Linked DNA regions of Schizosaccharomyces pombe. The protein of the gene in region 1 interacts with the protein of each later gene in a pairwise test. Each region holds a gene or a part of one and is shown on either strand. Other genes may lie near its edges.

The links.
Region 2: the proteins of mod5 (region 1) and tea3 interact in binary tests that used the Schizosaccharomyces pombe proteins (3 or more experiments, as listed by UniProt).

The regions. Positions count from the first base shown.
Region 1 is NC_003423.3:791,212-797,062, reverse strand, and holds mod5 (Tea1-anchoring protein Mod5), read right to left. Parts: upstream 3,897-5,851; 5' UTR 3,803-3,896; coding exon 3,743-3,802; exon of another isoform or gene 3,515-3,742; coding exon 2,006-3,514; 3' UTR 749-2,005; downstream 1-748. Other genes in the region: prt1 (transcription factor), read right to left, coding at 1-480; BAG family molecular chaperone regulator Bag102, read left to right, coding at 5,184-5,804. UniProt on the Schizosaccharomyces pombe protein: With tea1, acts in a positive-feedback loop in the microtubule-mediated regulation of cell polarity. Involved in the anchoring of tea1 at the cortex as well as the correct localization of tea3.
Region 2 is NC_003424.3:3,213,988-3,220,125, reverse strand, and holds tea3 (cell end marker Tea3), read left to right. Parts: upstream 1-1,852; 5' UTR 1,853-2,058; coding exon 2,059-5,436; 3' UTR 5,437-5,613; downstream 5,614-6,138. Other genes in the region: cardiolipin-specific phospholipase Cld1, read left to right, coding at 1-1,174; DNA-binding transcription factor Thi1, read right to left, coding at 5,820-6,138. UniProt on the Schizosaccharomyces pombe protein: Acts as a cell end marker required for efficient new end take-off (NETO), whereby growth is activated at the cell end to generate bipolarity in extending cells. Also required for proper placement of the septum.

The DNA.
Region 1 (5,851 bases):
AATAATGGAAAAGGTAGATGAAGAGCCGAAATATTTTTGAGAACCGATCGGAGTAGTGACGAGAGTCCCCATTTTTTCATTCAAAAACGCTATATCGTCGGTGGAGTCATCGGAAGAAGTTTCGCCTTTCGTACAGTTTAGATCATGATAGTTTTTGGGAGTAGAGGAGGGATGTATAATATCAGGCTGCTGGTCGTAGTTCGGAATTACGGATCTCAGAGTAGACTCCATTTGTTCTAATCTAGAAACGAGCGACTTAATGTACATTTGTCTCTGACCTGTTCTTCTTTTAGGTCTAGCTGTAAATACGCATGGGATTCCGTGACTAACGCAATTCGAACATGCAGGTTGCTTTCCATCACAGCGAATCTTCCTTTTTCTACACATGTCACAAGCTCTAGGAATTCTTTTTGGTTTCCCCATGTTATCCCCGTGGCGAGGTGAGTCTTCCTCCGGCGATGCTGATTTCAAATTTTCCATCCGGTAACAATTTTTTCAATGTACAAGTGCAACGACAGTCGATTAGCAAATATTAAGATATGCCAAAGATATTAAAAAATAGAATAAAAAAGCCAATCACTTAGCAATACCTACAATATAGGACGTTCGTTTTCTGAGTAGTTAAAATGTGCGGGTCCAAAAAATGTTCCTTAAAAAGTATTTTCAGTAAGCGATTTATTATGAAATAAAGCTTTCATTTATAAATTAAGCACCAATTATTCGTTTTTAACAATTCCGATAAAAATTTTTAACCAAGTTGTGTTAGTCACGTTGATGCGTGTAGATTACTATATCAATCCGATTTTACGAAACTTATCGTGCTGAGCAATTGGGAATAAATGTAGAAAAAATACAGAAGCTCATTAATTTTGATGAAAGTCGTTCAAATTTTGATTTAATTTCATTATTAAATACTGAAATTAAATAATCAAAATAGTTTTTGCGAACAAAAACTAAGTTATACAGGTAGGTACATTTACCACATACCTGAGGGGTAGCATTAGAAAAACAGAACGAAAAGTTACATAAATTAAAAATAAAGCTTTTTGTTTTCTTTGGAAACGGATCAAAATTGAATTAAGACGGATCGGAGGAAGTCCGAAGTCCGACTTCTCAAAAAACATCTCATCCCTACATTGCAAACATAAAAGTTCGACACTAGATTTCAGAAAGCTTTTGCGAAAAAGAAAATTAAAAAAAAGCTTTTTCAATTTAATTTTGCTTTCATAAACTCGCCAAACTCCAAAAGCTATAAATTATAAGTTCCAACTTACCAATGACTGTAAATCAGTGAGGTGAAATAAATTGCTTTTTCTTTTAATGGTCTGTCGTTCATTCATAACACCGATTTAAATGAACAAAAGAAAAAAAAATCCTTTTGTTCTATTTGTCGTACAAAGTAATTCATGCCCAGTCTAAAATAAAGTGAAGTTCGTAGAGAAAAAGAAATGTGGGACAAGCAAGACTATCCTTTGTTAAACCAAATAGAAATTTAAAAGTTCCTCAAGAATATGCCATTTAACCTCCAAGATCGGATATCCAGGTTAAAGAGATCTGAAAACCATGACCAATCGAACCCGGTATAAATTAGTATGAGTTAACGCGATATGCACCACATGAGTTCAACGTTTCTAGTTTTCATTATTCGAAAAAATATGAAATTCTTCCTGCTAAAACACTATACTAAATGTTCATATGTTATTATTGTTCAAAAAACAAGGCAAAAAATTTAACATAACGCTCCACAATAAAAAAAAGATTTGAAACATGTAATTCTAGAGGTTATGTGTATCCCAATCAACGTTAATGATAACACGTGTCTTGAAATGAGTATGCATTAAAACGGAAATATAATATGGATATAAGCAGACAGGAAAGTACGCACGTGAACAACCATTAAATTAATTCCTTCAAGTATTACGATTTCCTTTGGATATCTGAATCCTTCATAGACACATGCTTTCGACGCCAATCCTTAAAATATTAAAAAAAACAAAAATAAATTTTACATCAAAATACAACAAAACTTCTCTAATTTGGAACCTTTCTTTTTAGGAGGTTTTTCACTTTTTTCAGAAGGTTTTTCTTTAGGTACTGGTGTTGCACTAGCAGCTGGTTGTGTATAGTCTCTGGTTACATGAGGTGGCATTTCAGATTCGTGGACACTCAAAGAATTCTGAATTGACGGAGCAGCTGGAGGATCTGGTGACCCATCACCAAGGGCGGGTACAGAAGCCGAAGGCAAAGGTGAGCTTCTTGAGTAAGTAGGTCGTTTCGGTGAAACTTGAGGTGTAGGAGTTAAATTGGCGTAGTTAGGTTGGTTCAAATTCACAGTGGAATCATTGGCATCCGATTGAGGAATATCTGACTCCTGCTCATCTTCAGTATTGGTGGAAGTAAAACGTGGAAATGGACTCCCAGTATTCGGTTGAGGTTGAAAAGAACGCATTGATTGAGAAATGGCTTCCGAAGATGCTGTACTAGCGTTGTCTTCAGAATGAGTGTCTACATCATATACAATAGGAGAATCACTCCTCGAAATGCGATTCGGTGTTGATTGCGTCTGCGCGCCAACCTGGAAAGGTCGATCTGCATCATTGTAGGAAGATTGAAAAGACGATTTACGAGATTCAGAATCGGTTTCTGCAACCTTCTTGGGATTTTGAGAAGGCGAATAAGTAACGGCGGCTTTGAGAGACTCATATTCAACTGAAGAAGCAGGTACGGGAGACGACATATCTGGCACAGATACAGGTCGAGCCTTCGCGGAAGAAGAAGAAGAAGCTGGCGTTTCATTGGCAGGTGGTGAATATGGCTGCAACGGCCAAGCAGAATTCTTAACGTTTAATTTTGGCAACGTTATGTCCTTTGGCGGATTTTCCAAATGCGACACAGCGCGCATCGTATTTTTGGATAACTGAGCAATGGATCGTTCCAAGCGTCCCATAGTAAAATTCAACCTAGAATCCAAGGTCGAAGTATCAATTAATGCTGGAGATGCGCTTTTTGTCCTATAAGAGTATCTTCCCGGACGAGATGAGTCCTGTGATGCTTCCAATATTCTCCTTCGGCGCTCACTTCCAATGTCAAAGGTTCGAAAATTACTATTAAAAGATGATCTAGCTCCCTTGGCTGTTTCAGAGGGAGATCCTTCAATGCTAATATCCTCTGACGTTGAACCATTGGCACTTCTTTTTGGAGATTTAGACGCGCTTCTCTTTACATTAAACCCAGAAAACGTATTGGGAGAAAAAGACTTGTGGTAATTACTTGGAATATAAATACTACCTGCTGTAACAGGACGAGCATATCGATTTACGTATGCATCTCCGTCTGGATCTAGTACACTTGAACCAGTATCTTGCTTGCTGCTTGGCAATGGTAAAGAAAGACCTCGTTCAAAACTATCGGTATTATTTCTCCGGATAGCAGGAGTAGAAGGAGCACTTGTACCTACATTTCTATTATCGAATTGAAATCCGACGGTAGTGTTTGGTCGAGGTTTTTTTGATATCTAATCATTAATGCCAGCAAGCTGAACCCTTAACTAGTGAAAAGGGGGCAGCCCAAGCAACACTTGTTAGCAAATCATTATTTCAAACAGGCAAGATAGGGTAGTACTCGGAAAGAAAGGCTCCATTCAACAAATTGAACAGCTGCAATTTGCGTACAGGTGCAACTTTCATGTCTTACATAAAGAATAAGAGAAACTACCTCTGATCTTCTTAAAAAATTAGCATACCTCGGATGTCTCAGGTCTCCAAAAAGAAGGAATAGCAGGGCTTTCAGATAAAGCCGACATGCAATCAAATAAAAGAAAAAGATCAATTAGAGCCAAAAAAGAGAGTAAAAAGAATATCCAAAACTGGGAATTGGGAAACCGGTGTTTGGCTAACAATTAGTAGTACGCGGATCGCGACGCTAATTTCCTCAGTTGAGCTGGTATCGTGTTAAATATTTTGTAAAAGAATATTTCCCTCTTTTTAGTAATGTTCATGGAACAATTGGTGAAAAACATAATATTAAAAGGTCACAAGAAAATTTTTATAGCTAAAATATTCTTTTAAAAATAATTCGAGCAAGTTCTCAGGCAGGTGTAGGAAATAGATGGATATTTAATAGAAATTACCCTTGAGAGCAAATAGAGCTGATTCCTTTATCCATGTAAGATGGAAACATAACTTTTGACGTCCCCAAGAACATGCACTCTTAGATAGGTAAGCACATCAGTGATGGAGTAAGTGTTGATATATCCAGGTATTGCAGACGAGTAACAATAATGAAAGTTGAAATGGAGAATTGTTTACAGCATGATATCCTGTTCTTCAATTTTTATGCAATTTGAGTCCCCAACAATTGAATCGATCAAATGGGAGAACCCACTAAATTATTGAAGAGTATTTTGAAAAAATAGTTGAGGTATAAAATACCCAAGAATTCAACCATTAAACGATAAAATCAACCGAGAATGCGCTTTTGCTGATATGAATTTATATGAAACTTCTTCTTTGCTTTTCAGAATAAAGTTATACATACAAATAAACAATTATTTACGCCGAAAGCAATCAAAGATCCTTAGAGTATTACTTATTCTCTTAAAAAAAATTAGAGCATTACTACTTCTGGTTAAAGTCAGATTCACACTTTGTTCAATTATCAAACACATCCCATGGATTGCTTTTTTCGGTACCTTCCTTGTCAAAGAAACAAAAATTAAACTTAAAAAGAGAAAAAACAAGATCTTTACGAAACTGAATTAGTTTAATTTGATGCATGAACGTAAATGATAACTAGATATTTGAGGTCAACATGTCAGTCTACTGCAGCAGAAGTTTTAACAAAAACAAAAAGAATAAGATTTTGGCAACAAACAGCTTTTTTTTTTTTTAATTATCATTTTTCGGACTTATCATGTTTGTATAGGAGAAACTCACATTTCAAAGAATTCATAACACTATCATCTCCACAACCTACATAGTAACCACCAAATGCGAAATTGGTTCGAGAGCAACTCACCAATTTAAAACATCCTCTCTCTTATCTAGCAATTAAATTTTTATATACCAGTTCCTTCATTTACCAAGGAAATCTGATAAAGACCCAGACTTATTTAGTCTTGCTTATTGACCGGTTTATCACTTCTTCATTCATTTGACTTTAGGAAAAAGCATCGAGAAATCAACATGTCTTTTTTTACCCAGTTGTGTTCTATGGATAAAAAATATTGGATCTCTCTAGCTGTATTGTCAGTTACTGTTTTGATTAGCGCATTATTGAAAAAGAGAGCTACTGAAACCGAAGATATTGTCGTTGTTCATTACGATGGCGAAAAGTTGAATTTTGTGTTGCGACAACCAAGGCTGAATATGGTTTCTTACACTAGTTTTCTTCGTCGCGTGTGCAACGCATTTTCAGTAATGCCCGACAAAGCGTCTCTCAAGTTAAACGGGGTGACCCTCAAGGATGGTTCACTTTCCGACCAAAATGTGCAAAATGGAAGTGAATTAGAGCTCGAATTACCCAAACTGAGCCCGGCAATGCAACAAATTGAAGCATATATAGATGAGCTTCAACAGGATCTCGTCCCTAAAATTGAAGCCTTCTGCCAATCGTCTCCCGCTTCGGCACAAGATGTTCAAGATTTGCATACACGCCTTAGTGAAACATTGTTGGCTAGGATGATAAAATTAGATGCTGTTAATGTTGAAGACGACCCAGAAGCTCGTCTTAAAAGAAAAGAAGCTATTCGTTTATCTCAACAATATTTGAGTAAACTAGATTCCACCAAGAATCAAAACAAATGAAAAATGTGTTATAATTTAACAATTCTTAGTTGCTTGGGAGACGATGG
Region 2 (6,138 bases), on another chromosome or scaffold:
ACAATGTGAGCGTGAAGTCCTGCACACTGTCGATTTTATTCGGGAAAATGAAAAGGACCCAGAAAGGTTAGTTGAAGTTGTAGATTCCAAAATCTACGATAATGATGGATTGGTACATGAGGTTTGTGTTAGTGATAAAGCAACAGGAAAAGCGAACAAGCGAAGCATTGTTTACATGCATGGGTATGGAGCTGGTCTTGGTTTTTACTTTCGGAACATGGATGGTTTGACTAAGGGTGTGACAAAGGATTTTAATTCTTATTTTGTTGATTGGCTAGGCATGGGAAACTCGTCAAGACCGCCTTTCGATATCAAGGGGCAAACCGCTTCAGAGAAGGTCGAAGAAACAGAGAGGTTTTTCACTGAGTCATTAGAAACATGGAGAATCGGTCATGGTATCGAGAAAATGATCCTTGTGGGCCATAGTATGGGAGGTTATTTGTCTGCTGTCTACGCCATGCAATATCCGGAACGTGTTGAGAAACTCTTACTAGTTAGTCCAGTTGCCATTCCTGAAAACCCTTTTGCAAGCAACGATGATGCGGAAGTTTACAATTCCGTTGCTTCCTCTGCTGTGCATGCTGTTATGGATGAACCTCCTTTAAGTAATGTTACTAATGAGGTTCTGCAAACCCAAGAGGAAACTACAGGTTTAGAGCCTTCCCGGCCAAGCAAGCCAAAGAATCCTCTTCCAAGATTTATCACCTTCTTATGGGAGCAAAATGTTACACCATTTTCTCTACTTCGTTTAAGCGGGCCTTTAGGTCCTAAACTAATGAGTTTTTGGTCTAGCAGAAGGTTTTCAACGCTTCCCCCGGAAACGTTTAGGGCATTACATAATTACTGCTACTCAATATTTCGTCTCAAGGGTTCCAGCGAGTATGCACTTGGCAATTTGCTCGCTCCCGGAGCTTTCGCTAGACGATGTATTATGAATCGCTTGCGCATGTTGAAGTGTCGAACTATATTCATGTATGGAGATAAAGATTGGATGGATGATGTTGCTGGTTTAGAAGCGACAAACAGATTGAAGGAGATGAATATTGAGGCGGAGCACCACATAATTTCAAATGCTGGTCACCATTGCTATCTTGATAACCCTGAAGATTTTAATGAGATTGTACTAAAGGAGATACGAATGAGTTTACGTTCTTTTTCTTCGATTTCAGAGTAAATTTTTATTTTTTATGCCCTTCGCTTAGTGCTTCATTATTTTTATTTATTCTTTCTTGTCCTGCAAACTATCCCATGTGATGCTGTTATAGACCTCATTCATTAATTTATACTACACATTATTCTTTGGATTCCAATTGAACGACTTTTTTTTACCTAACTTTTTATCGGTCCATTTTGAATCGATTTTTATTGCATTGACGCTCATTTGCTTCATTTATCGCAATTTTATTTTTTTGTCCGATTACTTGTCCAGCATGTGTTTTCAAATGTTTTATTTTTAAAATGTGCCTTATAAATCAAATTTTGTAATATTTGTAGGCCATTTACTACAATTAGCTTATAAAGTAAATAACAGTTTTTGTGGTTGTCTATTTTAAATTCTATCCTATAGAGTAATTGGAAAAATACATTTTTCTTGCTCTAAGCTTTTCAAACGTGAAGCATATTTCGTACTTCTAAATTTCAATTCAAACAGAGCATTCAACGGTAATGTATACTATTGCGCTTAAACTTGTATCTACTCTCCCTTCTTTATGTTTAATGAAGATATAAATTATAAACATCATACAGTATTACAAAAATTTATTGTAGGGTATTGCAATTGTATTCGTTGTTCTAAGACTTCTCTACTCTAAGTTGCCGTTTCCTGATGGACTGTGTGTTTCCATTACCCTCCACAAGTTATGCTCTTTTCATATTATTTCGAAAATTTTACTTTTTAATTCTTTTTTAAAACTAAAATATATATTTTTTCTATTTTATTTCTTTTTTAAGCGTAAAAACCGAACCTTTTAAAAAACTCCTTGGATTAAACTTTCGCTTTGATTACCATCTGCAACTGCAAAACCAGTAAGCGATTTTGCAAGGTAAAGATCGCAATACATGGTTCAAAAGGTTTTAAGCCGTCAATCGGATAACTCTCAGGATGTGTCTGCTGAACAGCTTGATGTAGTGGAATCCGGTAGCATTGATCAGCAAAATATACGTGCATGGGTTGTTCGCAAAGTCAAAGAAAATGATAAAAGGACATCTACGAACCAAAGTTTTAAATGGGAAGCTGTAAAACCGGCTTCTTGTCTAGATGCTGCGAATGAAAAATTCATGTACTTACATGGAGGACGAGAAAAATCTGGTATTTCAAACTCTTTGTTTAAGTTGGACCTGGATTCATGCACGGTTTATTCTCACAATAGAGGGGAAGACAATGATTCTCCTGCTCGAGTTGGTCATTCTATCGTTTGTTCTGCTGACACTATTTATCTTTTCGGAGGATGCGACTCAGAAACAGATTCCACATTTGAAGTTGGCGATAATTCATTGTACGCATACAATTTCAAGAGTAATCAATGGAATTTGGTTTCAACACAGTCCCCCTTACCATCGCCTCGCACTGGACATTCTATGTTGTTAGTTGACTCTAAATTATGGATATTTGGGGGTGAATGTCAAGGAAAATATTTGAATGATATACATTTGTTTGATACCAAAGGGGTTGATCGGAGGACGCAATCAGAACTCAAGCAAAAGGCAAATGCAAATAATGTTGAAAAGGCTAATATGGAATTTGATGAGACTGATTGGTCATGGGAAACACCGTTTTTGCATAGCTCATCCCCTCCACCTCGTTCAAATCACTCAGTTACTCTTGTCCAAGGAAAAATATTTGTACATGGAGGGCATAATGATACTGGTCCATTAAGTGATCTTTGGCTTTTTGATTTAGAAACACTTTCATGGACCGAGGTTCGTTCTATAGGAAGATTTCCAGGTCCGCGGGAAGGTCATCAAGCTACTACAATAGATGACACGGTTTACATTTATGGTGGTCGTGATAATAAAGGGTTGATACTCAACGAGCTTTGGGCTTTTAATTATAGTCAACAGCGGTGGTCCTTAGTCTCAAATCCGATCCCTATTTTGCTTTCTGATTCATCTTCATACAAAATTGTTTCAAAAAACAATCATATTTTACTATTATATCTTAATGCACTTGACGCTCCTAAGCAACTGTTATGTTATGAAGCAGATCCCAAAAATTTGTATTGGGATAAGGATAAATTTTCTGATATTCCTGTTCTTCAGCATATTAGCATGAAACCTTCAAATGCTTCAAACCACACGGTTTCTCTTGGTTACCTAAACGACCGTCCTAATCATTCCAAAAAGAATTCTGTGACATCCACCTCGTCTAGTCAATTTAACAATTTTTTGGAGCAAAATCAAAAAGCCGTAAGATCAGCTAGGCATCGGCACTATGCTAGCTTGGATGAACAAGGATTACATTCTTTGAGAAACCTTAGTAAAACCTCTGGAATGAATCATTCAGCAGATTTCTCTCTTCACGAGTTTGGGCAAGCTGACCCCTTTGCTTACGAAATTGAGAAACCTATTGCGTCTCTTCCTTTACCTAATGGAAACGATACTATTTCTAGGTCTTCCGAATCTTCATCTCCAATCAACGAAAGTGAAAGTAATTCTCTGCTTAAACTCCAATCAGATTTTAAGTTTTCTAATTCTGATGATCGTGTAGCTTGGCTTGAGGAGCAACTGTTATATTGTATGCAACAAGGCTATACTCTCAAACCTCCTAACCTGTTTCAACACGTTGATGAAAAATTGAGGCTTGAGAAAAAAGAGCAGCTCAGTTATTTGGAAATACTGAAGGTGATTGAGCAAATGCTTGAATCTAATGAACAAAAGTTTAAAAAGCAAATCGTTAGCCTAGCATCTGAAAACGCAAAATTGGCTGCTCAGAGAGATGCTGCCGTGGAAAATGCAAATTATTCACGTTCACTGATCCAGAAAAAGACAACGGACGAAACTGTTGGATCTTTAATAGAAAAAGTTGGAAAGTTAGAGTACGAAGTTCAAGGGACTCTTGAAGAGGCAACCTCTTATTATCAAAAAAATACTGAACTTCAACAGTTATTGAAGCAAAATGAATCCGCTTCTGAACTCTTAAAATCTCGAAATGAGAAACTTTGTGTAGATTATGATAAACTTCGTAGTGTGTTTGAAGAAGATTCATCAAAAATACTATCTTTACAAAAAGAAAATGAAAACCTACAATCACAGATATTGCAAATTTCAGAAGAGTTAGTCGATTATCGTTCTCGTTGCGAGGCTTTGGAGTATGGAAATTATGAGCTGGAAACGAAGCTAATTGAGATGCATGATCGAGTGGAGATGCAGACAAATGTGATTGAAGCATCCGCTAGTGCTCTTGATGTGTCCAATACTGCCATATTGTCTTTTGAAGATTCGCTCCGTAGAGAAAGGGATGAGAAAAGTACGTTGCAACAGAAGTGCTTAAATTTACAGTACGAATATGAGAATGTTCGGATTGAGTTGGAAAATTTGCAATCTCGTGCGCTAGAGTTGGAGTCAGCCTTAGAACAATCAGTGTCTGATGCTAAATACTCGAAAGCTATAATGCAAAGCGGATTATCAAAGTTATTATCTTCTATTAACGAAAATAAAGATAATCTTAAAGAGTTTTCGAAGTCGAAACAAAAGATCTCCTACTTGGAGTCTCAGCTAGAAGGGCTTCACGAGTTGTTACGTGAGTCCCAGAGACTTTGTGAGGGTCGCACTAAAGAGCTACTAAATTCTCAGCAAAAGCTCTATGATCTAAAGCATTCATATTCCTCTGTAATGACAGAGAAAAGTAAACTTTCTGATCAGGTCAATGATCTTACCGAGCAAGCAAAAATTACTCAGCGTAAGCTCTCTGAGGTACAAATTGCATTGGCTGATTCAAAAATGAATCAACAGTTATCAGGAAAGGACTCTACTGACGTTCATCTTCCTACGGACTTTTCAGCTTCCTCCTCTCCCTTAAGATCATACTTTAACGAAGAGGATTCATTCAATAATGCTAGTGCTGCACATAGTTCAAAAGAATCTGACATACCTTCTGGTGGTGTGTTTACAAAATATCGTAATCATTTTGGTAATTTGATGACATCTGAAGAAACAAAAGCCCCGGATAACAATGATTTACATAAAAGACTTTCTGATGTTATCAACAGTCAGCAAAAATTTTTGTCTTTGTCCCCTCAGGTATCTAAAGATTATTATGATGTTCGCTCAAAACTAAATGATACCGCGGGCTCATTTTCAGGTGAAGAAATGCGTGCAATTGATGATAATTACTATGCCAGTCGTATTAAGCAACTGGAGGATGATTATCAAAAAGCCATAACATATGCCAATTGCTCAGATGAGTCATTTCAGCAGCTTAGTCATTCATTTATGTAACTCTATTCATCAACTAAGGATTTTTTATCTCTTTTTTGGTTTGTACAATTTTCTTAATAATTTTTTGAAGTGGTTTGATTTTTTCTACTTAATCTCAAGTCGTTTGACTACGTATGTAAATTACCACTATATTTAACAATAAAATACGCAATTATTTCTACTGCATTTACATTGACTCATTTATATTTTAAAAAGTAATGAAATTTAATTAACTTTTAAAAAGTAAGAGAAAATTTAAAGTATTAGATTGATGAGGATACTCTCAAGTGCAAATTACTAAACTGGTATTAAATGCTAATTCCTTAACCACGCGAACAAAGCATATGATGAATTACGTAGAAATAATTAAAACAAACAAAGACCTGCAAAAAACCATTAAAGATTCATCCATTTTTTTCAAGGGTCAAATTTGAAGTTTGCTCTGCAGTATGCGAAGACTGCTCAGAGACATTAGTAGGGCCTAGCAGTTCCGTCCAACTCAAAAACGTAGGAGCCGTCCATTGTTTATCAACTTCCAAATTGAGAACTGGATCCGGTAGAAAAGTTTCAGGTGTGAGCAAACTGGGTTGGTTACTAACATAACTTTTGTTTAGACCCGGAACATTATAGAGAGATGATGTTTGGTCAAAAGGTTGGAATGCTTCGTTTGGAGTACTATTACTACCATTTGAGCTTTCTCCTGTAAGCTTAAAGGTAGAAAGC